Saccharomyces cerevisiae S288C: one gene and its partners. Changing the gene in region 4 together with the main gene of any one other region gives a genetic interaction. Each region holds a gene or a part of one and is shown on either strand. Other genes may lie near its edges.

Region 1 (3,256 bases), on a different chromosome or scaffold from region 4:
AATTGAATGCTTTTTTATTATGCTTTCTTTTGTACTTGCTGACTTTCTCCCTGTCTCTGCGTATATTGCCAAATGTGACAGTTAAGCTTCCATCTAAAGAAACTTCTTCCCAATCAATATCACTTAAATCATCTTCTTCATCCTGGTAAAAACTATCAAAAGAATCATCTGTTTCTTCCTCCTCATAAAACGATACTTCTTTCTTCTCAATCTTTGAGTTTTTTCGATTGGCCTGATCATTTTGGCTTGATTCTAACAGTCTCTTGGCCATTACTTTTCTTCTCACTATTCCTTAAACTCATGTATGCTAGGTTTCAAGGTTTGACCCTTCGTTGAATATCGAATTTGGTCATTCACCCTGGCTTGTGTGTTTTCCGTTTTATTATTTACATTTTCCAGAGGGCCACTAGAAAAAAAAAATACTTATCTATCCATATATTTTACAAATGGTAATGTATGTGCATCTGCCAGTACCAAAGGTGGAAAGAAAAGTATACAGTTTATTTATTTGAAGTATGATAAATTTTTTGGCTTGATGTCAACTGGCTGTAAGTTTTTGTCCAATGGGTCCATTTTTCTTTTGGCTTTAGATCTACATCTATTATATTCACGTGCAACGCATTTTCAGCACTGTTCCATTCAATGAAACATGTCACGTCTCTGAGTGTCATGAGTAGCAGATGCTCATCGTTTACATCGTTGATTGATTTTATGTCACTTATTGGAGTTGTGTTCTTTGTAAGTTTTTTCTGTAAATCATAAAGGATCTTGAAAATGTTATTGTCATTGCGCAAGTACTCATGCATGGCATCTTTAAACTTAACCGGAAATATATTACATTCTCCAAATATTAATTCCAAGTGTGCTGGATTCATTAGTAATTGATTGTAACAGTACTTAGTGCCTCTACCCTTAAATGCATTATGAGTACAGTTCCTACAGTAATCTGTATCATAGTATAACCATTTAGGCTTCAATTCTAAAATAACTGTTTGCAGATTTTGTGAACAATAAGATTTTAAAAAGTGGTTATTTAATATCAGATTTGAGGTATTATTGGTGAGATTTTTAATTTTGATAACTTTGACTACCTTATCGTCTAAATTTAGAATAAAGTCACTGAGAATTGGCCTTATAGCTTCTATATCGACGTCAATCAGATACATCGGGCAAAGCAAGCCATGTAGAAGAGGTTCTACATAATCTTTAATATAACTGATGTTTTTGATTGTATAAGAATTATTTGATGATAACAGATCGGGCCAACGGATGCAGCATCGCCACAACCACGTAGGATCCCCATAATCAATCAGTATATTTGCCCCACCACGTCCGATGACTTGCATCGATCTTTCTTTTCAAAAAAGGAACTTATCTCTGACAATTTTCGACTGGTAGCATATCACGGTTCGAATTAATTTTGGAAACCCTAAATGGGACCGCATCAAAAAAGTACCTTGTGAAAATATCTTCGATAAATAAACCACTGAGGAACGAACAAGAAAACCATAAGTAAGTGAGGATGATCGTATTTCGTCGCTTTCCTACGTGCCTTTTACATCACATTCGACAACCGGCATCCAGGAGTCTTTTGTTGGAATCACAAAGGCGATCATTATCTTTTACATCTTATAAATATAACAGCAGCCACATTGATGATGATAAAAGTAAAAAAAAGCTTAAAAATGTTTTCCAAATGAATAGCAATAGAGTCATTCGTAAGCAAAAAACAAAAGAAGAATTGGCCAAAGAGAGGTTCGAAGAACAACTGAGGTCACCTAATAGATTTGTGAGGTGGGGAGCTATTGCGAGATCAGAAAAGTTTTCAAAGGGAATGACCAAGTACATGATCGGTGCTTATGTGATATTTTTAATCTATGGTCTCTTCTTTACCAAAAAACTGTTTGCGAAAGACAAAGAACTGGAAAGATTGTTGAAGAAACAAGAAGAAGGGAATGCCAATGAATACGAAGCATTAAGGATTAAAGAATTGAAAGGAAAACTAAGGAGGAGAGATGAATTGAAATTAGAAGAATACAAAAAAATGCAAGAAGAAGGCATTGAAAACTTCGATGATATTCGGGTACAGAATTTTGATCAAAACAAATTGAATGAACAAATATTGCCAGCAAGAGACACAACAAACTTTTACCAAGAAAAAGCTAACGAATATGATAAGGCAATTAATATGGAAGAGAGAGTAATATTTCTCGGTAAAAGAAGGAAATGGTTAATGAAACATTGTCAAGGGGATGTTTTGGAAGTTTCATGCGGTACAGGAAGAAATATCAAGTACCTTGATATGTCACGCATCAACTCTATAACATTCTTAGACTCTTCTGAAAATATGATGGAAATTACACATAAAAAATTCCGAGAAAAGTTTCCTAAGTATAAAAAAGTTGCATTTGTTGTTGGAAAGGCGGAAAATCTAGTAGACTTAGCAGAGAAAGGTAAGCCCTCTCTAGAGAATGAAAAGGAAAACCAAGTAAAATATGATACTATCGTGGAGGCGTTTGGTTTGTGTTCCCATGAAGATCCGGTTAAGGCACTTAATAATTTTGGCAAGTTATTAAAGCCAGATGGAAGAATTATTTTACTGGAACATGGTAGAGGTCAATACGATTTTATAAATAAGATATTAGACAACAGAGCTGAAAGAAGACTGAATACTTGGGGCTGTCGATGGAATCTCGACTTAGGCGAAGTGTTAGATGATTCTGACCTAGAATTGGTGGAAGAAAAACGGACTCACTTAGGCACTACTTGGTGTATCGTTGCAAAGAGAAAAGGTGATGTGAAAAAGAAAGACGAGCTTGGGTTTGTAGAAAAATACTTGCAATCAAGTATTAGAAAGAGAATGGAATCATTCGAAAAAAAAGACGATATGGCATCTAAAAAAGAACTTGAGCCAGTACCTCCTGTAAGTAAAAGTTAACATATTTATTCATACCAATGAATTTTATACAGGCTTAGAATCGTGTAAATATTTCAGTAAGCAAGTTAAAATGTGATCTAAAACCCCTTAGGTAGTTCTCCTTACTTCTAAAGTGATCATACTGACCATATGTGACGTAACGACGCTATTATTAACAATCCAAAAATTGCGTCACTGGGAAAAAATAAAAATGCGAACTCTGTGGATCGAACACAGGACCTCCAGATATCTTGACCAAAGTTTTTTCTTCAGTCTGGCGCTCTCCCAACTGAGCTAAGTCCGCTAACATAAGACGGAACTTCATGGGTGGTCTGTCTT
Region 2 (9,908 bases), on a different chromosome or scaffold from region 4:
TCCCCGATATCCGTTCCACATAGCATCAAAATACTAGAGAACCCATCATCTCCATATTCCATGACGCAAAAGTGAACGGTTGAAACGTAAGAGCTACCAGCTTTAGAAATGACCCTAATATTTTCATTGAAGATTATAGCCGGGCCTCTTCTGTCCAATATTATTAAGGTTCCTTCAATGAAACCAACGGCAACGAACCCGATATTACTATTCATGATTGCGGACACCGCACCTTTTTTAGCATGTATTACCGTACTTGGTATAAAGCCTTGTTTAACGTTCGTAGGCCCTCTATCCGAAACATCAACTAAAATAGTTTTTGAATCATCCAATGAAAATCTGCTAAACTTCAATTGCAGTGCATCGCTTTTGGGAAGTTGTCCGTAAAACTTGTTTGTTTCGAATTTGAAAAGAATAACATCCCCAACCTCAGATGATACCGCCAATTCCAATGTTTCCGATGCAAAGGAGATATTTTTTATGGCCAGGTTAGTAGCTCTGTTAAGTACTTTAGCAGTATTCACTTCAAATACAGCGTTGTCAGTTACTTCACTGTGTGAAGCATCCCATATTCTGACTGAACCATTACTATGCCCAGTTAGTAAAGCAGATCTGGTCTCATGCCTTCTAATATTTCTGGTGGCAGGAATACCACCTTTTAAAAACGATTCACTTTGAGCGATTGTCATCATCCCCAGCCAAAGATTTTTTTGAACTGATTGCGCTATACAAGTAGTAACCGTTGGTCGAACCCATGCTAAGCTCCGAGGGAAAATGGAGGCCTTGGAACTAAAAGAGCCTGCTGGGTATATCAATGTTTCAAGTTCGCCATCTTCTAAAAGTAATAAAATGAGGTTTGTGTCATGGCATCCACCAAAATATGGAGAAGCCTTCGGCAAGGGTAGAAAATTTATTAGTGGAGCTTTGCCAATCAACGAAAATAGTTTTTGTTGAACCGGTTTAGCATAGTACTTGCTCATTGCGTCAAATGATGTCACAGAATACATTGGTGTGCCGCCTAAGTCAATCATGGTTATTTCCTGAGGTAAACAGGGATTTTCTGTAGCTTTTGTTGCAATCAACAACGATGTATACTCAGGATTACGCTGGCAAAGCCAGCTTACTTTAAAGATAGCGGGTGTTTCTGTAAAGGAACAGTCTTTCAAGGCAGGATTTGGAAAATTCACATGTGTTTCAAATATACTTCTAGCGTGAATCAGTTTACCGCTATTGACATCCCAAAATACCAAGGAATTATCTTCATGGACAGTTAATATATGTAAGGAATTTGGGTGATAAAGTGACTGAATGACCTTTGGAGTGCGTTTCTTTTCTATGTTTGTGGATAGATCACCGCCCGGAGCATACGGTTCTAATTGGTAAAAAAAATGTTGCTTGACTTTGTAGTCAATGAAAGAATATATGACTGTAATATGCTCATATGATATAAGTATCGTTCCTATGTCTCTAGGATTCCATTGGATAGAAATAACCGGTGATAGCCTCTCTTTTGGCAAAAACACACTTTTCTGGAAGTTTTCAATTTTCAATTTGGACATTTGATTTCTATCCACATCATAGATCAATATGGATCCACTCTCGAGGCCAATCAGCATCCAATCCAAGGACGGATCAGTCTCAATACAAGTGATGCTGTTTGGACAGAAAACAGTAGTTAGAATCTGTTTCGAGTGTACTGAAAGAACTATTATGTTGCTCTTCTCATCTACAGCTATCAGATAAATTCCTTTAATAAACCGCATGTGTTTAATTTGAGGTCGATTTTTTAACGTAAATACGACCTCTATTTGCTTTTGCCCATAAACATGTATCTCCCCAGCAGTAGTTGCAACTGCCAAAAGGCTTTGAGTATAGTCGAATGTGGTAACAGTGATTCGTCCATTTATGCCGTATGTGCATATTTTCTTAGTATCGAAAAATTTGGAGTTAATACCATTTGAGACGTCATGAACTCTCGCGGATTTGATAGCATTTGACACATTCTTCAAATGCCTGCTTTTCTTAAACATTTATAAAATTTTTGTATCTGTTCAATTGACAATTTTGTAACTTTTATAATCTGTCAACTTTAGAAATATGTTAGTAGTAATATAATACTGAGCTGTTTCTTAAATGCTTCCTTAATAATGTAAACAGAATGCGCATTGTTGAACATACGGCTTCGCATCGCATCGCTTAAACGAGGTTTTTCATATGCATGCTCCAAGATAGGTACGAACAAAAAAGAGGCATTGCATCAAAATGGATAGTTTCAGTTTATGTAACAAAATCTCATTAAAAAAACCCTCTCCTCCTATGAAGCGGAACAGTTCAACTTTTCCGCTTAGATGTTTTATATAAAATTAAATAAATCATGGCATGACCTTTTCTTCATAAATCCAAATCATCTGGCATAAAGGAAAATCCTCTAAACTCTTCTTGCTGGCTCGTTGTCAAAACAGAGGGCAGAGGTGTAAGTGTGGGTGGCGCAGAGGTGAATTCTTGCTCGAAATATGATGTATCTTCCGGAGATTTAATTTCTGGGATGTAGGGTGGTTTCACGCGAAGGTTTAAGATATCGTCAAAGTTGATGTTACGGAAGAAAGGTTCTTCCATAACTTCGTCTGCGTCCCTGGGACCAGCACCCAACCTCTTTTCAGGATCTTTTGTTAATAGGCCTTGGAATATTTGTACAATCTCACCTGCCATATCTATTGGGTATAAGGGTTCATCGGTAAGGATAGCGTTAAAAACTTCATCTTCGTCATCTCCTGAGAATGGAGATTGGCACAGTAGCATTTGATATAGCAGCACCCCAAATGCCCACCAATCGACAGCTTTGGTATATTCTTGCTCTTTTAAAATTTCTGGAGCCATAAATTCTGGTGTGCCACAAAATGTAGAAGTTCTATTACCATACCACATTTCATCTTTACACAAACCATAATCGGCAATTTTTATATGACCTTCTGGAGTTAATAGAATGTTTTCCAACTTCAAATCACGGTATATTACACCATTATCATGAAAATATTTCAGAGCCAGTAAGACCTCGGCGGCATAAAATTTGGCCCTTCTTACAGATAGTCTTTGGTTTTGAACATGCCACATTAAGTCACCGCCCCCAATAAACTCCATAGCAAAATATATACGGTTTTCAGTTTGAAAAGAGCAGTATAGATTGGTTAAGAATGGGTGTTTAGTTTTTGTGGCTAACAAAAATACTTTCTTTTCTGCTCTTGCACTCTCGATGTCATGATTTTGAATAATATTATCTTTCTTCAGAACTTTTATGGCACAAAGCCTGTCAGTATTCTTTGATTTAGATAAAATAACTTTACCAAAATTACCTTTACCAAGAACTTTGAGTAATACGAAATTATCTAATGAAACCTTACGACGTTTAGCCGCTCTCTTTTTATGCTTTGCGCTTGTGCTGGTTTGTGATTTCTGCGGAGATTGTTGATCAGTGGTTCTGGAGGCATGAGTACTTGTAGGAGCCAAGGACACTGTTTCTTGTAGTACTTCCTTTGAAGCATGGTCTTGTTCAATTTGAAAGGTTTCACTATTCATATCGCGGAATGGATTTGTGTGTGTGGAATCTATTGTCAAATCAGCTTCACGGAAATCATTTTTGTTCTCCCAGTCTAGTTTCTGTTTGGTCTCTAAATCAATGTGATCAACTTCTAGATCCTCTTGGATTTCCCCACTATCTTGTTTTATTTCAAGTTCCATTTCCTCACGTTGTGCTTTCCACAGTTCAAGTTCATCTCTCATTAAATCATCTTTAGATTCCCAAGTTTGACTATGCTCAATAGATAAATCAGTGAGTCCCAAGGAACGTCTATTCGACGTTGGATCCAGTGTTTTCTCTGGTGATGAAAATTCGGCGGTTTGTTGTGCACCTTCTGTAAAATTTAAATAGGCCTCATTTTCATCGATAAATTTATTTAGTTTCTCACGCCCGTGCGTTTGTAGTGAAATTCTTTTATCAATAATAGGATCATGCTGCTTAGTTGGAGAATCTCTTCCTACCTTCTGAGGCGAAGGAGTTTTATCATGTTTTCTTGGCTGAGGAGGCAAAGGAGCGTTTGCCCTTTCAGCTAATTTGGATGGGGAAAGATCACTACCATTGGCAGTACCAATAGATGACCCCAACTGTGCCGACGGAACTGTCCTCTTCTTTTTCTCTTGATTACGTTTTGTGTCTTGAATCGTTTTCAGAATTTTATTAGCCATTTCCATCGACATGCCACAGAAATCGGGAACCAAATGAGCACATTGAGCATGACACATTATACCACATTCAGAACATTTGCGTACTTTATGTCTACCCCATGGTAAAATATAACCACAGTGACAGCACCATTTAGTACCACGGTTTGAAGTAGGCAGGAATCTATGAGGAATACGGTGGTTCAACTTTGCCTCGTCCGGATCCGTATCAGTAGAAGTTTTAGCAATACACTTAGTAACAACATTGGTGTAACATTTTTTGTGACATAAAAATTTACAATCTTGACATTGGAACCCAGTATACCGAAGGAAATCACCACAATATGCACAGCACATAATGTTGTAAAATGATTTTTGTACAAAGTGGTGGCCATGCTGTTCGAATATCTCTTCTTTCCTATTGATAATAGCACCATGACGATGTAGTCCACCCATCAACTGCTTCCTTTCTATTTGAGAAGACTTGTGGAATCCTAGTGTTAACAAAATCTGCCCGGATGGTTCTAAGACAAACCATGAATTCGTACTGATTTGACTAGTTGATGTATTTTCGCCTTGCACATTCTTTGCTGAAGTAGACTGAATGGCTGAGTTTGAGTATGTAGAAGTCAATGTGCTTCCCTCTTCGCTAGCGAGAGAAGAACCACCATTAATGTTTGAAGCGTTGACCCATCCTTGTTGTTCATTTGTTTGTCCGGCTTTCTTCTTACGAATTTCTTCAGCGATATCGGAAAGCAGTAACCACATTATAGCCACTGGAATGAGCGAGTCGTTCACCTTATCATATACAGTAATCTCGATTTCATTCCCTTTTTCAACTGGAATTTGAAAATCTTCACTCCACCTGTCATTTCTAGAAGGCTTCGTTCTGGCTTTGATCGTATCATCGATTTTTATAGTAACGTAGCTCTCTGGCTTCCTGGCAAACATCGGTGATTGTATATGGTCAACATCTCTAGCAGCAGTTATTCCAATTGTTAGAACGCCAGTCAGTTGTTTTCTTCGGAATTTCGGTTGTTGATTATCCATTATGTCATTGGGTTGGTGTTTAAATTGATCAAAGTCAACGTTAATAGCTTGGTATTTCTTCAAAGCTTTGTTAAGCATTTGAATCCTGTATTTGGATTCCATAGCACCCCCTTCTGCCGCAGAACTACTACGTTGATCACCGTCAATTTGATACAATTTAGTCAATTTAGTATTGGCTTCTTGGTATTGCTTTTCCACCTGTAATTTGAATTCTAATTGTTGCAACATGTATTGGATTCTTTGCGCCAAAGAAGGGCAATCATATTTTACTAAATCCAAACGAGAAAATATGTGTTCATTTGGCGATTTGGTAGAAAGAAACCCGTATTCCTTCGAATTGCATCGCTCATTATCTTCGCTGCCATTTTCACCCTGACTTTGTTGAGCGGTCTTCAACCGTAATTTTTTTAAGCTATCCTCCAAGTACTCAAGATTTTGACGTGCCTCTCTAATATTCGTATTACATTTCTGAATGACCATAACATTGCTAGTCTTTTTCTTGAGGGCAGAAGCTCCCCGAATAATATTTTCTTCGACGGCTATCTTTTTTTTAATGTTCTGCTCCAATTGTGAAAAACTCATGACTGTAAACTGCTCCCTATATGTGTGATACTATACTTACTTTTCCTCGCTAGAGCTTCTCTCCGCAGCTACTGTTCTAGGTTTTATTCCTATTGATTATCTAATATAGTTTTAAAAATCTATACTGAAAGGGGATCGACGCTGAATACCTCTAACGTAAGTGTGGACGAGTGGTGGCAGAGACTTTTACAATGGTTAATAATCAGTCTCTACTCAGCCAAATTGAATAGCAGTGAAATCGTAGCTCTTTTACTGCTCCTGAACCTGTCGTATTACTTTCGATAGAGTAGATCAACTTTATTATCCACGCTTGTTAACTCTTTTCGTCGGTTTTTTTCGCCTTTAAAACTAGGCGGGCTGGGTAATGAAGATAGCAATGCCTCATAAATACAATGTTATACTAATTACGTTTTTTCTTTGGTTATGTATATATATTGTGAGAATAAAGAGAAGTTGCAAGATTTGGTTTATTGTACAATACTACTTATTACACTGGCAGGTGCAACCTGGAGTGGGACAAACATTATGTCTGTCAAACCATTCTTCAGCGTGACCGGCATGCATACCATGGTTGCAACTCAAACAGAAGCTGAACCACTCGTTCAACTTCAGTTTTCTACTTACGAGTTCGCGATTTGCACCATCTTGAGAGTCTTCTGTCTGCATTGGATCGCGTGATTGCGTCCCATTTATTACAAAAGGTAAGTTTGACGTTCCTAGAGGCATGAGACATATGGCACATCTTGGAAATGAAGACCCACAGTGTGGGCAACAATACTTATGTCTTGGCTTTTCATCAGCTGCTTGTGCTTCAGAACTTCCAGTATTAAATTTCTTGTAGTCAGCGTTATTTCTTCTATAGGCTTCACCATTTTTGTAATTTCCAGCACTAGTAGAGACGGCGCTAGAAGGTGAGGATGTGCGCGGAGTGTTGATGTTTTGTTTACAGTTTTGACATTGGATATATATTTGCCGGGGCTTTATGTCTGCAGTTAATACACCAGTTTTAGTTCTCGATAATTTTGATCTTAAAACATCGAACCTGGCTCGCATGGAGAATAATTCCCACGATTTAAGCATATCTCTATAAGTTTGTATCCATTCATCTACTCGTTGGTCGCGGAAATATCTAGGGGAGCCGAAAATTGATATCAGTGCGGCACTCTGAACATCGCTGGTTTTATTAACGTATGATTGCAGTAGATCGATACCATTAGGTGTTATTCCGGTGAGAATTAAACCTTCTAATTCGCCGTTTTCAATAACTGTAGATGAAGTTCTATCTAAGAAAGTGGTTAGGTCTGTATCATTCAAAAACCTTAGAGCTACCCCTAATCGTTCTCTCAAAGATATGGCAGGTTCATAAAGAATATCCCACCAATCATTGTCTGCGATAAAGGCGAAAATAACTCTCAAGTAAGGATCATCTAATTCGGAGGACATTTTTCTGCATTGCTGCCTCCATGCATTGTTACCTGGCAGATCCTTATACGCCAAGTAACCTGCAATAGCGGTGGCAATTAGTCTCAATCTTTCCTTTTTTGCAGATCCCAATATTTCTACAGCCTTTGGGATATCACCAAAAAATACCGCCCAAGCGGCAGCTTTTTCATAATGGCCGTTTTTCATAATTATGTTGTACTTGTCTTCATAATCAGATCTGGAAAGGTCCCATCCTGAGATAATTAAACAGAGTCTTCTCTGAACGTACTTTGGTGAACCAGCGGCATTGGCAATAGGACTGTTCCGATCCCTATTTTTCCTTCTTAGTTTGATGATTTTTTCCATTTCTTTATTTAGTTGTTTATCAGAAAGAATTGTCTCTTGTCTATATCTGTCTTGGTTCGATATTCCGTTTATACCATTCCAAATACCTATCACACCTTCGTAACCTAAGTCAAGATCACCAGAAACCATCGTACCATCGTCAACAGAAGCCTTTGCAATCGCGATCCACCTCCATGTGTTCCTTATATAAGCATTGTTTTGTAGATTTTTAGAAGAATCAATCATCTCTACCGTGTTCATTGGATCCAAACCATATCCCAATGAAGCTCGCGTCCTCATTATTACACTTATATCTTTTTCCAGAAGTTTTTCTGGCTTCCAGAACAGTTCAAATCCACGCTTACTGTCAAGGACATCATTACTCCCTTCATTTTCCTCTTCACTCAACTCGGAGTACTCAATTTCATTATTAGGTTCATCATGTCCAGACGGAAAGTAATCTTCGCTAACATCTAAATCCTCAAACGATAGATTCTTTAGGATTGTTTTTACATTCTCTAAGTTGGACTTTTCATGCTCATTGTTGACTCTAATTTCATCTATCTCAGTATTTTCAAAATTTGACAATAAGAGAGAGTTCCTATTATTGAGTATAGCCTTGGAGCATACCTCTGAAATTGGCATTCTGTATATTGTTCCCGATTGTCTCATACAGATTAGACTTGTTCCATTATTACTTCTTGGAATATAATCAAATGTAGCAACTCTATCGTACATCGTATTTGTGTCATGCACGGAAGAAACAAACAAATTCTCAATATTCATCTCGTTATCGTCATCTGCCGCAATATCACGATTGCTATCGCAGTAATAGCCTAACCTCCATCTTTTGATGGTATCACCTCTATGTAAGGTGGCAAATTCATTGTTCCTCACACATGACCACCTAAAGCAAGAGTTCATGTATTTCCTTGACGCTGCACCGGATCCAACCAATTTTTCAAAAGTTAATAAAGGGGAAGCTACATTTAAATCACCAAGTGAAGCTTGGTCAGATAATTTTCTCCTATCCCAAATAGCTAAGGTCCCATCATCCCCATAAGTACTAAATTGCCAATCGTTAAACGGGTTCAGTTTGATATCATACGTCAATCGTGTCGGATGTTGATAAATTGGGTTGGGGGATCTGACGTCAATTTCTTTCAAAAATTTCGTACTTGCAGCCAATACACTGGTATCGTTGAGGAACTTTAGGGATACTATGCTTTCATTTGTGCAATAACTAAACATTGGGTTGATAGTTTCATGCGAATCATCATGATAATTCATGTCCCAAATTTGTAAAGATGAATCATGCTTATTTCTGTCAAGACCCATTGCTATAAGACCATTCGTATTTATTCCCAGAGAGTTTATACACCGCTGCTTCTTTGCTCGTACACGTATATCATAATTGGTTTCTGAAACAGGGTACCCTTGGGTATCCTTTAAATTTGAGACAGATCCAACTATATTTTCCGCCTGAGCTGCCTTACCACCGCTGGCATTTGTCATAGAAGTCTCGTTATTGGCATTTAAGCCCACTGGCGCATGGCTCGCTGGCGATGAGGAATTTTGTCCAGAGATATTAAAAATCCTTAAATATCCATTCTTTTCACCAACTCCAATCATACCAATTTCTGATTCTGAATAGTCTAAGCAGGTGATACTGCCGAAGTCTTTCACAGTGTGTAATTTAATAATTGATTCATCAGATTCATTTTCCGGATCCACTTTATAGTGGGTCACTTCATCTCTTGTAGGGTTCACTGAAAGATAATCAATCAAATTATCATATGACCAATGGGTCACTTTTTTGATGAGACCCATGTTTATTCTTCTATACGTTCGTGATACTGCACTTACGACTACCAGTAACATCAGAATAACCATAGAGCTTATGCTATCTTGAAATATATCATCGCCGTAAAGTATGATGTGTAGCGCATTAGTCTTCTGCATTCATATTATCAGTGGTATACCGTTTGGTATATGCTTTCCAATCATGAAGTGTTGGCTCTACTCTATATAAATTCGACATCCATTGATTTTCTCAATAAATGAGTTACCCAAGTAAGCTTTCCATTGATACAAGTGATCTACATTCTTGCGACGCCAAATTATAAAGCACTAAAAATCATATCATACCCAATTGCGGGCAGCACATGTATATATTATACACTACTTATAACTAACCTTCTTCATATATAACAATATGCCTGATAATACTAATGCATTTAAATCATATCATGAAAGAAAATTACATGGGTTTTATTGACATAATTGCATTTAGA
Region 3 (9,592 bases), on a different chromosome or scaffold from region 4:
TCCAAGCATTCGATGTATTAACGGATATGGATATTTATTTACGCTTTTGCTTTTGTTGACGTTGTTTATTGTTAGCTTTGAAATGTGCGAAGGAATTAGGTATTTTTTAGATAACCAGTAAAAGTCTCCATGTTTGACTATGGGAGCTAGTACTGTACCATCCGATCTTTCTAAAGTGTTTCTGGTAAAGCAGGCAGTAATATTTTGGTTAGCCAGCTCACTCAAACTTAATAGATCATAGGCTATGTTTGGTGTGTGTAGTGCTTTTATTGATGTTTTGGTGCCGTTCTGAAAGTTGAAGTGAAGATTACCAATGGCATTTATAGGAATGTCTTGTTTTTGAGCATCGACTATGTTTATTTCAGAATTGGGTGTTGCATGGTGTAAATAATGGGCTGATCTGACAAGCGTTTGCGAAGCTCCTGAATCAATAAGAAGGTGATCAGGTAGTTCGTCATTCGAGTCTATTGTGTGTGTTGGCTTAGATTCTTTCTGTTGCTGGCCTAAGACTAAGTTCGTTGTCATCGCTTAAGTATTGTGATGAAACGGTTGATTCATTAATGTGATCATTGTTCACCCTTGAGAATTTACTAGATGTAGCAATATTGTGAGCTTTTGCTGCTCTTGGTTTTGAACTATTTGTTCTATGATAATTACGAGTTGTAACCTTTGTGTTAGTCGTGTTTGGAGATGTGCGAGAAACATTTTTGTATTCGCTGTGTTGTTTGTATTGGGACGGTTTATTTAGATTCATGATTTTATTTTCGTCATATATTAATTGAATTTCAGCGAATAATTGGGAAAGTTTCATGTTCGTTTTGGTACGATATTGATTACGTAGGTATTTGAAGTCACCGGATAGACCTTTAAGTATTAGTTGACAGGCCAATCTGTCGCTAACATTGATATTGTTTTCTTTTAGCCTCTGAATGATCGTACTGACTGTAATTTCAAATGTATCAGCAGATGTACTTCCGTCGTACTCAAGGTTGGCAAGAGCTATCCAATCCTTTAATTCTTGATTGTTAGTTTGCATTTTGGACACACTTTTACAAAGGACTGTAAGGATGTCAGCATAATTAATTTCTAAAATTTGTTTTACCCATGTTGGCAATAAATGAAATGGGGCAAATGCTTGGAAGGTATTGTATATATACGCATGTTCTTCATAAGTCATTTGTCTTTTGATTTCACCCTGGTCATTTGGAATGATGTCACCGAGATTAGAGTTCTTCAAAAATCTGATGTAAAATTTAACCCATGTAGAAAAGTTTTCTTCTGATGTTAAAGTGTGTGGTGGTAAGACGTTATTTCCCACCTTTGTCTTAGCTTGAGGTATTTCAGAGTGTTGATTTTTTAAATCGATTGGATCAGGTGAGGAAGTACTCAGTGGTGGGATATACTGTGGCAACGGATAGTGTGGGTCCGGTTGATAATACGCAGGTGACGTTTGATAATGTGAACACGTCATCATAGATGGTTGTTGGTAATGTGCCCAGTTAGAGGCCATAGCTTTGTTTGGGGTCATCATGCCGTGCTGTTGGTACTGTCCATTCTGTGGAGGTGGTACTGAAGCAGGTTGAGGAGAGACATGATGATGGTTCTCTGGAACAGCTGATGTCCCAGGTGTTGTCTCTTGTTGAGAATTAACCTTAGTGGAATCTCTATCAAATTCCGGTAAATTGGAAGCTGAAACGGCTAACGGATCTTGATTTGATGGGACTTCCTTAGAAGTAACCGAAGCATAGGCGCTACCATGAAGAGAATGTGGATTTTGATGTAATTGTTGGGATTCCATTTTTAATAAGGCAATAATATTAGGTATGTAGATATACTAGAAGTTCTCCTCGAGGATTTAGGAATCCATAAAAGGGAATCTGCAATTCTACACAATTCTATAAATATTATTATCATCATTTTATATGTTAATATTCATTGATCCTATTACATTATCAATCCTTGCGTTTCAGCTTCCACTAATTTAGATGACTATTTCTCATCATTTGCGTCATCTTCTAACACCGTATATGATAATATACTAGTAACGTAAATACTAGTTAGTAGATGATAGTTGATTTTTATTCCAACAAGAAGGTTGCTCTTTATATAGGTATATGTCACTAATTAATGTGCTCTGACGCATATCCTTATGGCGCTAATTTGCTCGTCTAAGGGTTCAACGAAAACTCCGGACCTAAAGATCGCGAGCAAAATTCAATTAAGTTTTTTTTTTTTAAAAAAAAGTTGAGTAAATACTTATTTAGTTTTGGGTTACTAAATTAAAAATTGGGTGTGATCACTAATCTAATGTCTTGTTAACGGAGGTAGATGATGAAGATCCGGACGAGGCAGGACGTTTCAACTTCTCAACAGATACCGACTTTCTTCTGGTTTTGCGTTTCTGGAAACTCAAGTTGGGGCTCGTAATGTTTACTGGTGTAAATTTCGGAGGCATAATGACCCTGGTAAATTTGTTTCTCAATTTCTGTTGAACATAGTCCATATCCAAATGCTTCGTCAGGGAAATCTTTGGAATACAACTAATATAATGCCTGTCATCTAATTGAACATCTAACGGATCTTGAGTATGACACCCAGGAGACATTTTTAGTCTAATGGAATGCGATTTTTGACCAGAAGCATCCGTACTCTCATAAAGTTCAAAAGTGATCTGCGACAAGTAGTCTAGTTCTGGTAAAGCATTTCTAGCGATTCTCATTGGAATACCAGATTCGTATATGATATTCAATAGAGTGTAAATATGGGACTCTTTGGTGAAGTACGCAACACAAGCTGGAGTTTCTCTATTTTTCATGTCTCCTATATCATTTAGTATTTGCTTTGCCAAAGGCAACGAAGTTAACAAACCGATATCCAGTTTCTCTGCATCTGAAATACCATATTCTTTGGGGCAGATAAAATCAAACAATACTTTGGCCAGCTTATACAGCTCCCGCAACTGCATAAAGCGTGGCTCATCGAATTGAGAAGAAGATTTGGGGTTTCTTGCTGTAGATGTTTTTCCGCTTTCCAGAACCCATCCTAACGACCCAACACTATTACTACTGTTCTTTCCAGAATTGTTCATGCTATGACTGTCTATTATCTTAAAATTATTTTTGGCGAGAACGTTAATTGGGTATCGGTCAACTAAAGAATGACTGCCGAGTTCATCGGCGATAGCTTCATTTGGAAGACCCGGGTCAAATATGTTCTCTAGGAACTGCCTGTTGTGAAGAGCATCATACTTCATAGTATCATACAATTCAGAAATTTTAGAAGGATCGACTTTTTCAGCATTATTGAATTCTTTGAAAAGTTTATCCCACCTTTCCTTAAACAAACTAGGATCTTCAGAAGTACACCATCTTGTTTGCATCGAGTTGACATCCTTTTTAGCAAAGTTGTTATCCATAATTTTTTTATGGTAATTCATCAATTCAACCACTCGCTTTATGACTAAATATGGCTCCGGCATCTTTGAAGGCCAGGCAAATTGTGGGGGAGCTTCCTTACCCTCTCTTAAAAGTGGCTTCAACTTCTTTTTCACCTTATCCATTAAATCTTTGGCGGCATTACTGTCATCTAAAAGATCCTTTCTAATACTGATTTCATCGCTACCTAATTCATCGGCCCCAAAAAGAGCTCTGGTCCAGTACTGCGCCGTATGAAGAACACGTCTCTCAGACGATGAAAATATCTTGATGTTTTGTAGAATGCTCTTATTCAATAGGTCAAAATCTTGTCTCATTTGCTCTCCGAGTTCCGTAGCCTGATATTTGGCAGAATGAGTGGGTTCACCACCCCATTTCAAAATAAACTGAACTTTTTCCACTTCGTTCTCTTTATTTAAAACCGGTTTCAATTGTATTTTCGTACCGGGAAAATTCAGTTTCTTTTCTAGAGCGTTTGCTAACACTTTAATTTTAGCTGGATTTCCTGCTTTTTCATCTAACGCAATTCTTAAGGCCTGAAGAACAATCTTTAAATCATTTACATTCCGAATGACAACTTCTTCTTTGTGACCTTTTAGTAACGATATAAAAATAGGCGAAGTGAATGAATGTTTGAATTTCTGTTTTGGTGTTCTGTCCGCGTGACGGATAATGATAGCCAGTCCTTTGAATACCCACTTTTGTTCCTTTTCTTCACGAATAATGGGCAGATTCTTCTTTTCCATATCCATCTTCTTTTTGGCTTCAATGAAGGTACTTCTCAATATATTGGCGCATGAATCATAGTAAGCTTTGTTATCCTTTACAAAAGAAAATCCGTTAACATCAATGACGTAACTTTTACCAGAAACGCGAAGCAAATCGAAACCACAGATCATTTGTGAAAAAGCTTTGGAAACTTTCCCAGCAATGGTTTTCTCTTCGTCTGATAACTCAGTAATATATCTAACTTCTTTACCATGAGTATTTCTTCTAACTATACCATCAACCACAGGTGATTTCCTAGTTTCAGCGTGACAAAAGTTCTCACCAATCGTATAAGCCTTCACATCTTCGAAATTATCGGTATCCATAAACTGCTCATAAATGTAAGACCCCTCCGTACGAGGATGAACCAAAGTAGGATCAAACTCAGAAGACTTGTTACCAACTTTACGGAATAGACGACGACCGCCTCCTCCGTTCTTAGAATGATAGTATATATAAATGTTGTGGTCTTCACCATCAACGGGCTTTTCAACAAAGGGCTTAGTCATGGTTTTCCCATCAACTTCTAAAGTATCATCATCAACCATTTTCCATTCCGGTTCTTCAACGGGTTTAACTTCTACGCCATGCTCACGTAATTTTGCCCTTAATTCTTCGTTGGCACGGGGACCACCATCTCTACTGATTTCCAGTCTAGGAGGTGTTGGAACGTTGTAGGCTTCTAATACTTGTAGACATAATCTCCTGTCCCACAAAATCTTTTGCATTATTAAATCATTGATAATGAAAGGCTTGCGTAACTTGACGTATTTAATTGCTTTATCTAGGGGAAATCCTGAAGAAAAGAAAGATATCAAAAAGTCGCAAGTTGGCCAATTCTCTATTCTTTCATCTAGAATCACCTTATCTCCAAAAATGACAGTTTCAAATTCACCATGTTCAATTAAACGATTCAAAATGTGTCTCATTGGCTTTGAAAGGACTTTTGCATCCATTGCACATACCCCAATCTTCCCTACCTTGGGTAGCCTAGGTTTGGGATGACTAGTCGAGGATTTGCGTGAAGAAGCTGATGAAGTAGGTACAGAGTTAGTTCCCATGTTAGTCTGCTCAGCGTCCATTGTTCCTTGAGGTAAATGGGGCGATCCGGTCTTGGAGATGGAATTTATGTTATCTGCATCATTGACTATGTTAGAATTGCTGAGCCCCTCAGGATCAGCTTCTGACTTTGATTCACTGTCTGCCTTTTTTAAACCGGAAGTTGTAACTGTATTGGTGTTGTTTCCGTTTCCTAGTGCAGTGCTTATGGTTCTTTGCAGAGTATCATGCACGGTGAGATTCTCTTCACTGTGATCATCTTGAATACCGGGAGGTGGCAATTTCAAAGACATATTTTCGCTAGCTGACGTCTTAGGACTGAAACCCTCCAATATTGGTGCAATAGATTGCATAGCCTTCTGTGTGTTTTTGTTTAGGAAAAGGGGTGACATCTCAGAAGGTGCACTAGGTAAGTTATTTTTTGTCTCTTGTTGAGGAACCTCATCAGATTCAATCGGTTCCTTCTTTATCCCACTCATGACCTTCTGCAATATATTAATATGCTACGAGATGCTTTTGAATTTGTATGAAATGCTCAGTGGGTAATTTAAGTGGTGAACATATTGATTCAATGATTAATTGCATTTTTCCTATCTTAAATAAATGATTTTCTAAAAACATTTTTGAGCACGTGCTTTTTTTTTTTTAACTGAAAAATTTTGAGAAAAATTTCGCGATGAGATTGCTAATGAAATTTAATAAGTCCTAAGCACAATAAATATACAGCGAAACAGCAGCAAGGAATAAGACACTGAAAAGGCTATAGCGAGTTAGGAATAGTACATTATGTCTATCGACTTGAAAAAAAGAAAAGTCGAAGAAGACGTAAGAAGTAGAGGGAAAAATTCTAAGATATTTTCCCCTTTCCGGATTATTGGTAATGTTAGCAATGGTGTTCCTTTTGCTACTGGTACATTGGGATCTACCTTTTACATTGTAACGTGTGTTGGTAAAACATTTCAGATATATGATGCGAATACCTTACATTTACTTTTTGTTTCCGAGAAAGAAACACCATCCTCAATTGTAGCATTATCAGCACACTTTCACTACGTCTACGCAGCATATGAAAACAAGGTTGGTATTTACAAGAGGGGTATTGAGGAACATTTGCTTGAGCTAGAAACTGATGCAAATGTCGAACATTTGTGCATATTCGGAGATTATCTTTGCGCTTCCACCGACGACAATTCCATCTTTATATACAAGAAGTCCGATCCGCAAGATAAATATCCATCAGAATTCTACACTAAACTTACCGTTACTGAAATTCAAGGTGGCGAAATTGTGTCTTTACAACATTTGGCAACTTATTTGAATAAATTAACTGTCGTTACCAAATCTAACGTTTTACTTTTTAACGTCAGAACCGGGAAGCTTGTATTCACATCAAACGAATTTCCAGACCAAATCACAACTGCTGAACCCGCTCCAGTCCTGGATATTATTGCTCTAGGTACCGTGACCGGTGAGGTTATTATGTTTAATATGAGAAAAGGTAAAAGGATCCGCACAATTAAGATTCCGCAATCAAGAATCTCCTCATTGAGTTTCAGAACCGACGGTTCTTCTCATTTGAGTGTGGGAACGAGCAGTGGTGATCTAATATTTTATGATTTAGATCGCCGTTCAAGAATACACGTTTTGAAGAACATTCATAGAGAATCGTACGGTGGTGTCACTCAGGCTACTTTTTTAAATGGTCAACCCATTATTGTTACATCAGGTGGTGACAATTCCCTGAAGGAGTACGTTTTCGATCCGTCATTATCTCAAGGAAGCGGTGATGTAGTTGTTCAACCGCCAAGATATCTACGTTCCAGAGGGGGTCATTCTCAACCACCTTCATACATTGCGTTTGCTGATTCGCAATCACACTTCATGCTATCAGCATCCAAAGATAGATCATTATGGAGCTTTTCTCTGCGTAAAGATGCACAGTCGCAAGAAATGTCACAAAGGTTACACAAGAAACAAGATGGCGGCAGGGTAGGTGGTAGTACAATTAAGTCTAAATTTCCTGAAATAGTGGCTCTTGCAATTGAAAATGCCAGAATAGGTGAATGGGAAAACATTATCACTGCACATAAAGATGAAAAGTTTGCAAGAACCTGGGATATGCGAAATAAAAGAGTTGGCAGGTGGACTTTTGATACTACTGATGATGGATTTGTTAAATCTGTGGCCATGTCGCAATGTGGTAATTTTGGATTCATCGGTTCTTCTAACGGCTCTATCACCATCTATAATATGCAAAGTGGTATACTCCGTAAAAAATACAAATTGCACAAAAGAGCAGTCACCGGTATATCCTTAGATGGTATGAATCGTAAAATGGTTTCTTGTGGACTAGACGGTATTGTTGGTTTTTATGACTTTAACAAGTCAACCTTGTTGGGAAAATTGAAATTGGATGCACCTATTACCGCAATGGTTTATCATCGTTCTTCCGATCTATTTGCATTGGCTTTAGACGACTTATCAATTGTTGTTATTGACGCAGTTACTCAAAGAGTTGTTCGTCAATTATGGGGTCATAGTAATAGAATAACTGCATTTGATTTCTCACCTGAGGGCCGTTGGATTGTTTCCGCTTCTCTAGATTCCACCATTAGAACGTGGGATCTTCCAACCGGAGGATGTATCGATGGTATCATAGTAGATAATGTCGCTACGAATGTAAAGTTTTCTCCGAATGGTGACTTGCTTGCCACTACCCATGTTACTGGTAATGGTATATGCATCTGGACGAACAGAGCACAATTTAAGACAGTATCGACAAGAACCATCGATGAGTCTGAATTTGCAAGAATGGCGTTACCTAGCACATCTGTTCGAGGGAACGACTCGATGTTATCAGGGGCTTTAGAAAGCAATGGAGGAGAAGACCTAAATGATATTGATTTCAACACTTATACATCATTGGAACAGATTGATAAGGAGCTGTTGACTTTATCAATAGGACCTAGAAGTAAAATGAACACATTGCTTCATTTAGATGTTATCAGAAAACGTTCTAAGCCAAAGGAAGCTCCAAAGAAATCAGAAAAGCTTCCATTTTTCTTGCAACTATCTGGGGAAAAGGTTGGGGATGAAGCCTCTGTCAGAGAAGGCATAGCACATGAAACACCAGAAGAAATCCATCGCAGAGATCAAGAAGCACAAAAGAAGTTAGATGCAGAAGAGCAAATGAATAAATTCAAAGTTACAGGAAGATTAGGGTTTGAATCACATTTCACAAAGCAATTACGAGAGGGCTCACAATCCAAGGACTATTCATCATTGCTGGCCACTCTAATAAATTTCTCACCTGCTGCAGTGGATTTGGAGATAAGATCATTGAATTCCTTTGAGCCATTTGATGAAATTGTGTGGTTTATCGACGCGTTAACACAGGGGTTGAAGAGCAATAAAAATTTCGAACTTTATGAAACGTTTATGAGCTTACTGTTTAAGGCACACGGTGATGTTATTCATGCTAACAACAAGAATCAAGATATTGCCTCTGCTCTTCAAAATTGGGAGGATGTACATAAGAAGGAAGACAGATTAGATGATCTTGTGAAGTTTTGCATGGGAGTGGCAGCTTTTGTGACCACCGCGTGAGCATTATATAGAACAAGTATATTAGTAACAAAGGCAGATTGTATATTTTTCTTTTTCCTATGATGTTTTTTGAGAGGGTAACCAAGAATTATTTATTGGGTTTGTTGCAGTGTTCTTAAAGGGTCCCTCCCACATTTAATAAATGATCGACAATAAATAAATGTTCCTTACATTCTCAATGTGTGTGAACTGGATAATCGTAAAAATGCCAAACAGGTCTGAAGAACTTGACCGATTACTCGACAAAATAATCAACTCTCCGCATAGAACAGAAGCCTCGAAGACTTTGCAAGAAATTGAAAATAATCAATCATATATTTTAAATGTACAGTTGAAGAAGTTATTGCGACTTCATGACGACTCATTTAAAAATAAGTGTGTTTCTCCTATTAACTATATGTTGGAAAAGTACACTCCGTATATGGGGCATACCGAAGCATTACAAAAGGAAGCAGAGCTTGTGGATAGGGATCTCCGAATCCTTGAAATGACGTACCAACTGATAGAAAAGAATCGCAACTCGAAATAAAACGATAAATATATTCAATGTTTTTAAATTAGTACTATTATTATATGTTATTATTAATGGAATGAATCAATACGTATTTTATACAGAAATAAGATTTGAGAAAGAAGGGTAAGAAAAAAAAGAAGAATAAGTAAATGACGAAGTTCTTTAACTGAGTTAAAGTTGTGTAATGCAAATTTGAAGAAAGGAAAAGATG
Region 4 (7,546 bases):
TACCTTCAAATCTAGCGTCCAACCCGTTGAACGTAAATAAATCTTTTGTTACCATTAAAAAGCCTGCCAATGTTCCGAAAATCATTACTACACACACTCCTCATTCTAGCAAAGAGCCTTCTCCAGCACCACACTCAAATGATAAATCACTCTCCGCCGAAGAACAACAACTATTAAGTGATCATGCAGAGCTATCTCGCCAAGCTGTTCTCCATACTCAACGGTCGGGTCAACCAACTCAAGTTACTACCTCGACTAAAACCACGAGAAATAGCCCTGATAGTATATCAATTCCAAATTCTGGCGCGAATCACGGCAACGAAAATCAAAACGTTACAATCTCAACCTCTTACCAAAATACGAAGAATGGTATTGTGGAATCTGTCATCACAGTCAAAGGTGTTCCAAAAACCATCATTGGCCCCGCAAAAGATTGGGACGAATCCAAAAGTGAATATGGAAACGAGAATATCAATCAAGAGAATTCTAATCGAAGTGACGATAGAGAAAGTTCAAGTTCAAATGCAAGTTTATTTTCCAGTATTAAGAATAAATTTAAGAACGAAAACGCTAACAACAATGATCGTTCTAATTTCACCGACTCTTTGTCAAGAACTTCCAATTATGATGCCAACGGCTCCTCGTCGACCATAAAAAGATGAAGAGATTATGCCAAAAGAATTGCCCATGCATCATAATAACCATCATCACCGTTCTTATTAGTCCCAGACGCATGAAATCACAGGGGAGAGCAGCTTAAAATTTTTTCTACAGACATACAAGAAGAAATTGCAGTTTTTTTTTTTTTGTTTCTCTAACCTATAAATAAAATGTTTCAATACACATACTAAACAAAGAAAAAAAAATGTAGAGAATTTTATACGCAAAATATATAGACACTTTCCCCTATTTTTATCAATAAAAAAATGAACACATCAATGCCACTACCATCCATGCTCGAACAACATAGAAATGGATTCACCGTTATGGATTCTTCTAATTGCTTCACCGATTATGCAGGAGACATCAATAACATCCACTCTGTCCTTACCTAGGTACTGTAGTGTTCTATCTTGAGGAACCGTGTTAGAAATGATCAACTTATCTATACTACTTTGGCCGATTCTTTCTAGCGCATCACCGGAAAAAACACCGTGCGTTATTAAGGCATAAACTTTGGTAGATCCTTGATCCTTCAACAATTTCGCAGCTCTTGTAATAGTGTATGAAGTATCCACCAAGTCGTCGACTATAATACACACCTTGTTTCTAACATCGCCAACAAGCATGGTAGTTTGAACGAACTTGGACGAATTAGAAGATTGCGACGAGGTGGAAGATGTTGAAGTTGTTTTCTTCATTTCAAGGGCCGCAACCCCAGTGGCACCTGAAGAAGTAGTATTTTGGGAGGAAACCAAAGTAGTAACTAATGGCCTTGGAGATACTGGTAACGAACCACCAGAGGTTAACGTCGCATCTGGAGGGCCCTTCAATAACTGAGATCTTCTTTCTTTATGAATTAGGGCGAAGGACAATTCCAAGGCGTCTGCAATAGCCGTAGCTCTCTTTGCACCACCAGCATCTGGAGAAACGATCACAGCATCCTGATAATCTGGAATGCGATGCTGGATGTAGTTTTGTGCAATGGGTTTACAGTAGAGATTATCCACTGGAATGTCAAAAAACCCAGGGAACTGTGGATCGTGCAAATCCATTGTGATCACATGGTCAGCACCTGCAGCACTCAACAAATGAGCAATCAAAGTACCGGCTTGTACTACCCATAGCTTATAGCCTGCATTTTGAGCGTTGAACAATTCACCAGCGTCCGTGCTATTGCTTGTATTTTGTAACTTACCACCGGGAATCATAGGAATTCTTGAAAAAGAAAGCGTCTTCTTGATGTCGAAATTGTTATTCGCCGTAGCACTGCTGTTTGGTGTTCTGATAGGTTGAGGATTTTCTAAGTTGATAGTTGATCGTATTGCACTATCCAAACTCTTCAACGAGCTCTCAGCACCTGGTCTTTGCGTCATTAAAGAAGATGACACGGGTGTGCCTGGATGCGATTCAAAAGTATAGTTTTCTTTAGGCTTGGAAATTATGGGAGCACCCTTGGCAGTATATGGAATATCTGGCTGTCTCGAGTAGCAGAGATATGGCATTACGGCTGTAACCCTCGAGGCAGAAGCGGACTTGCAGGCACTGATTAAAATCAGCAACTGCATGAACGTGTCGTTCACCTGGCCACAACCACTCTGGATGATATATACATCCTTTTCACGAACAGATTCGCGAAGAGCAATGTTCGTTTCCCCATTAGAAAACTTCCCTAATTCTACTTTCGATGGGTGAATGTCCAAATTTTCACAGATCTTAGTAACTAACTCGGGGTGCGAGTCCCCTCCAAAAACAACAATATTACTCATTGACATCCAGACTGCGTTCCTAGCCTCGTAGCAACCTCCAACAAAGTCACTTTCGACCAACTTACTCTCATCTCATCCAGCCCTTCTCGCTAATCGTAGCCATTTATTATTTGATAGAAAATTTTTTTCAACTGCGGTCGAAGGGTAACAGCCATATTTTCCTTAATTGATTAGTATAGGAGAACTTGATGATAAAGTGTGGAAACCTTTCATAAACGGTTGGAGAAAAGAATCACATAGAGTTATGGTGAGCAATGATTAGTGGTGTGCTGGTATACTCATCGAGAGGTGAACTTGTCTTGAACAAGTTCTTCAAGAACTCGTTGAAGCGGTCCATATCCGATATCTTCCGAGTACAAGTGATCAATAATCTAGATGTTAGATCGCCTGTTTTGACACTGGGCTCAACTACTTTCCATCACATCAGGTCGAGGCATGGTGACAATTTGTGGTTGGTAACCATTACGAGAAGCAACGCTAATAGTGCGGCGATCTGGGAGTTCTTATATAAGCTTGATGCAGTGATGAATGCTTATCGATTGGATAGAGAGGAGGCCTTGAAAGAGGAATTCATGATTGTGCATGAGATGCTGGATATAATGTTGGGTGGAAATGGGATACCAATTGACACTGAATTGAACTCTGTTATAGCGCAGATGTCTGTGAAACCCGTTAGAAATATGGGCGGATTGTTAGATAGTCCCGATGGAAATGATGTATTATCTTCCTCTTCATCTCCTACTTCTTCAGCAGGAGAACTACATTTTCCCAAATTTTTGACAAAAAGAAGCAGTAGTTTCCTGGGTCAAGGAGACTCCACTTCTGATTTCTATGATAACAATAAGATCACTTGGAGGCCCAAGGGGATAATACACAAGAAGGATGAAGTTTTCTTGTATGTCAATGAGAGGATAAACATTCTGGTATCTAGGGATGGTTCTATCTTGAAATCATACGTTGATGGCACCATAGATATCACCACACACTTGAGTGGGACCCCTATTTGTAGATTTGGATTGAATGATTCTTTGGGAATGCAGTCCGAAGACGAGAAGAAATGGTTAGCACAGCAGCAGCGTCACTCTGGCAGCGATTTTGGAAACAAGAACTTCATTCCCAAAGCTGCTGCCGGTAGTGTTTTGTTGGAAGATTGCAAGTTTCACGAATGTGTCTCACTTGACAAATTTAACAGAAATCATATCATTGAATTCGTCCCACCAGACGGTTCGATGGAGTTGATGAAATATCATGTACGAGATAACATAAACCTGCCGTTCAAGGTTACACCTATTGTTACACATTCTACAAGAGATAACGAGATTGATTACAGGATAACATTGAAGTCTTTATTTCCTGGAAAACTTTCCGCCAAAGATGTGGTACTACATATACCCGTTCCACCAAGCACTGTGGATTGTAAGATAAGTGTCTCTAATGGCCACTGTAAGTTTGTGCCAGAAGAAAATGCAATGATTTGGAGGTTCAACAAGTACAATGGGTTGACGGAAAACACTTTAAGTGCAGTTACTGTGTCCACAAGTGATACTACTCAATTGAATCTTCAACAATGGACAAGACCTCCAATATCCCTGGAATTCGAGGTCATGATGTTCAGTAATTCTGGCTTAGTCGTACGATACTTTACCATTTCTGGAAAAGACAGTAAGCATCGTGCTGTAAAATGGATTAAATATATATCGAAAGCCGGTTCTTACGAGGTGAGGTACTAGCCCGTAATTTTTGTGTACATATATTTTTATCATGCCTGTATTTTTTATAGTAATTTCCTTTAGAATGCACATTTTGTTAATATTGAATATTTTCTATTATGAGAGACATGCAATTTAGTTTTTCATTGAAAAGAAAACAGGGAAAAAACATGGAAAAACCATACAAGACACCAAAAACACCATAGTAATGAAGATCAACAGCGCAATCAAGAGGCACTGGTACTTCTAGGCTTGAAAATTTGGTTTTGAATATAATGCCCCCTCAGATTCCCAATGAAAATGATGATCTCTTTACAAGGTGGCTTAAGTCTCGGGCCATCATACAAAGGGCAGTATCGACAAGAGAGTGCTTTGACTCAGAAGTATTTCTGGCGTCTGGTGGCTGGAATATAACGAATGAGATAATAACGTTAAAGAAATATTATCAACTCAAGTGGCCAAACTCCAGTTGCAATTCGTTTCATCCAAAAACCGTGGAGTTTATTAAAGAACGATTACACAACCTAGAAGAACATGACTCTTCATGGAAAATCCCAAATCCTGCTTACTCATTCAAGAAAGCCTTCTTGGAGGATACTAAATCTGCATTTTCCAACTTAGAACCCGTCTGGGGACCATCAAGGCTTTTGAATCCAGCTGAATTACTATTGCCACAGGACGAAAAACTACTTGTTCAAGAGATACCACTAGAGTTCGCACCTTTTCAATACACAAATAGGTTTGCTTATGGTGGTTTGCAGTTCAAGAACAATTTGTTCGTCACTTATGGGAGTTATTCCTTCCTGGCTGCCGGTCAATGCGTCGAAGTTCATAATTTCGATATACTATTGAACGTTTCGTCATTAGAAATATGTCACGCCTTATTGCCCGTGATAATACCAGATGACGGAGATGTAAGAAACTTCCGCAATTCATCATATGTGAAATTTAAGGATACACAGTTCAACAGCATACCTGAACTATGTTCTATCAACTTTATGAAGATTTGTAACTTCATGCATCAAGATTTTCTACTAGCTTGCGGTGACAACGGAATCGTTTATATCTGGGAAATCAACAAAGTTATTAAGATATTTAATAAATTTACTTCGGATATCTTGGGAGGCAAAGATAACAGCCGGGAAAGATACATAAATGTTGATCCATATATGGTGTTAAGAGTAGAGGAATCTTGTTGGAGTGTTGATGTAATAGATATAAATGGCATCATATATATCGCTGTTGGCCATAACAAGCCTGGAGTTACAGTCTTTGCATTCGATAAAGATGTAAAGAAGGAAAGACGGTACATTCGGCCTCTAGATCTTCCCTCATCTCACAATGTTCCTTGTGTTAACTTTGTTCCTAATTCAAAAGATTCTGTTGGATATATTACATTAAGTTATTGTTCTATATTTGGGAATGTTGTTACCGTTAAATTAAAGGAGCATGATTGTACCATTTTAACGAGTTTCCTTGATACTCAATTTTTTGGCGACGACTTATGGACAATAACTCCACTGACTAAGAAGGATTTTGCGAAAGTTGACAATTTCGAATTGTTGAATCTTAACTACCAAGACGGTTTCAAAGAAAGCATGTTATATTCTATTTGCCGAGATGATTTTTTACTTGGGTATTACTGTGATAACGCCTACCTCTCTGGGAATTTCGGTATTGGTACATTACTCAATCAATTTCAGGTTCCTGTCACAGACCTACGACTGACTTCTTCAGCAGGGATCCCCGATGAAGTTATACCATTAAGATTTACCTCATTTGATAGAAATTACACTACAACGGGCTCGATAAAATACGAGTACAGCAGAGAGGATTTTGCACTTATTTTACATGCCGGTGACTTAGACGATATGAATGATGCAGTGACAAAAAACACCTCATGTGAACAGCATTTACACCAATGGACATTTTGGGAGGATTCTGGTTATAAACATTATCGTGCTACTGAGCGTGGATTTTCGAAATACAAGGATATTATTAATACTTTTCCACAGTTGATAACTCCTAGTGGAAGAAATAAAACATCGCAATATCAAAACACTTCTGGGAGAAAGATCTGTGAGCCGTCTACTTATAAACTTACTGATCTCGAAAATGATATTGAAGATATATCTCGCGAATTTAATAGAAGTATTCGTAATTTGAAAATGGATAAACAAAGACAACTACGAACTTCAAAAGAGTTCAAATCGCTAAGTTCAGTAAATCATATACCAAATATTGAATCGGGAAACTTTTTATGGTACAACACCGATGCCGCTGCCGATTGGAGAACACTTTTTGGCAAGGATTTGAACACGGTCTTGAAGGACCCAGAAATTTGTAGCCTTCAACTGAACTCTACAGAAGAGGACGATGTCAATAGCGACCCTGAAAATGAAGAATCTGGTAGCAGCTTAACAAGTTTCCAGCGAAGATATAGGGATACTGAACAGCGTGCTCACTTGAAATCAGAATCGCAGAAATCTTGGGGGTTCCACAACTATGTAAGAAACGTCAAGCGGTTATTAGAGTCAGCAGTACCGGGCTCAGAAGATTCGCCTCTTGGGTATCAACTATCCGAAATGCACGACGAGTTCTTCTTCCTAACCACAGCCCATAGGCTGGTGTTGATGAAAGCAAATCCACTCATAATTATATCAGCAACTCATCATGAGATTTTTCCCTTAGATGGTGTTGTGACGTGTGCTTCCAAGTCGCTGCTCCAAGCACTAAACAGAATAAATTTTGTGTGTCACATCAAAGAACTAAATTGCATAGCCGTGGCTTCACAATTGGGTCTCATTTCATTACTAAGACTAACAGAGTACAGAGGCATCTATTCGTTTAGACAAGAGTATATTCTTGGATGGGAAGTCCAAGACCCTGTTAACCCTAGTCCAGAGTGCAGATGTAACAGGAACTTGTTTGACGCACCAATGTATGGTGCAGATGGAGAGAGCTCGGACACATACTGCGGCGTGTGCGACGTCTATTTCCCCATGGGTGATATTTGCGGACTAGATTACACTTATGCATCTGACAGTGAAGAGTTAAAACGTAAGGGATATGCTACCTTATACGTAGCATCAAGAGGCTCCTTGAGGGCATTCAAGATCACAACTGAGCATGGAACAACTCAACAATAGCATATTTTGACATTTACATAGCCATCTATATAATAATCCTTCCTTCATTGAAATGCGCGAATGACTCAGACGAGCAATATCACGTGTTGCGATTTTACTTTCAGTTTGCAAAGAAGAAACCATGCCACATATAAAGAACGTTTGCACTTCTCTTTAATTTATTAGTTAGTAAGTAAGAAGTTTAAAGACAACTCAGAAGACATCAGCACTTTACTATGGCATTGGAAAGAGAATTATTGGTTGCAACTCAAGCTGTACG

What was found.
Region 1: mutations in PRS5 (region 4) and IPK1 together harm fitness more than expected from each alone (negative genetic interaction), as found in Saccharomyces cerevisiae (4 studies listed by BioGRID).
Region 2: mutations in PRS5 (region 4) and PKC1 together harm fitness more than expected from each alone (negative genetic interaction), as found in Saccharomyces cerevisiae (2 studies listed by BioGRID).
Region 3: mutations in PRS5 (region 4) and VIP1 together harm fitness more than expected from each alone (negative genetic interaction), as found in Saccharomyces cerevisiae (3 studies listed by BioGRID).

What each region holds. Positions count from the first base shown.
Region 1 is NC_001136.10:1,092,241-1,095,496, forward strand, and holds IPK1 (inositol pentakisphosphate 2-kinase), read right to left. Parts: upstream 1,347-3,256; coding exon 501-1,346; downstream 1-500. Other genes in the region: RAD34 (Rad34p), read right to left, coding at 1-271; OMS1 (putative RNA methyltransferase), read left to right, coding at 1,523-2,938. UniProt on the Saccharomyces cerevisiae protein: Has kinase activity and phosphorylates inositol-1,3,4,5,6-pentakisphosphate (Ins(1,3,4,5,6)P5) to produce 1,2,3,4,5,6-hexakisphosphate (InsP6), also known as phytate.
Region 2 is NC_001134.8:11,850-21,757, forward strand, and holds PKC1 (protein kinase C), read right to left. Parts: upstream 5,848-9,908; coding exon 2,392-5,847; downstream 1-2,391. Other genes in the region: putative Rab GTPase-binding protein SRO77, read right to left, coding at 1-2,030; SEA4 (Sea4p), read right to left, coding at 6,328-9,444. UniProt on the Saccharomyces cerevisiae protein: Required for cell growth and for the G2->M transition of the cell division cycle. Mediates a protein kinase cascade; it activates BCK1 which itself activates MKK1/MKK2.
Region 3 is NC_001144.5:933,689-943,280, reverse strand, and holds VIP1 (inositol polyphosphate kinase VIP1), read right to left. Parts: upstream 5,741-9,592; coding exon 2,300-5,740; downstream 1-2,299. Other genes in the region: YLR410W-A (gag protein), read right to left, coding at 482-1,798; rRNA-processing protein UTP21, read left to right, coding at 6,048-8,867; BLS1 (Bls1p), read left to right, coding at 9,028-9,396. UniProt on the Saccharomyces cerevisiae protein: Bifunctional inositol kinase that acts in concert with the IP6K kinases to synthesize the diphosphate group-containing inositol pyrophosphates diphosphoinositol pentakisphosphate, PP-InsP5, and bis-diphosphoinositol tetrakisphosphate, (PP)2-InsP4.
Region 4 is NC_001147.6:207,133-214,678, reverse strand, and holds PRS5 (ribose phosphate diphosphokinase subunit PRS5), read right to left. Parts: upstream 2,436-7,546; coding exon 945-2,435; downstream 1-944. Other genes in the region: MAM3 (Mam3p), read left to right, coding at 1-662; APM4 (Apm4p), read left to right, coding at 2,684-4,159; CRT10 (Crt10p), read left to right, coding at 4,414-7,287; MET22 (3'(2'),5'-bisphosphate nucleotidase), read left to right, coding at 7,503-7,546.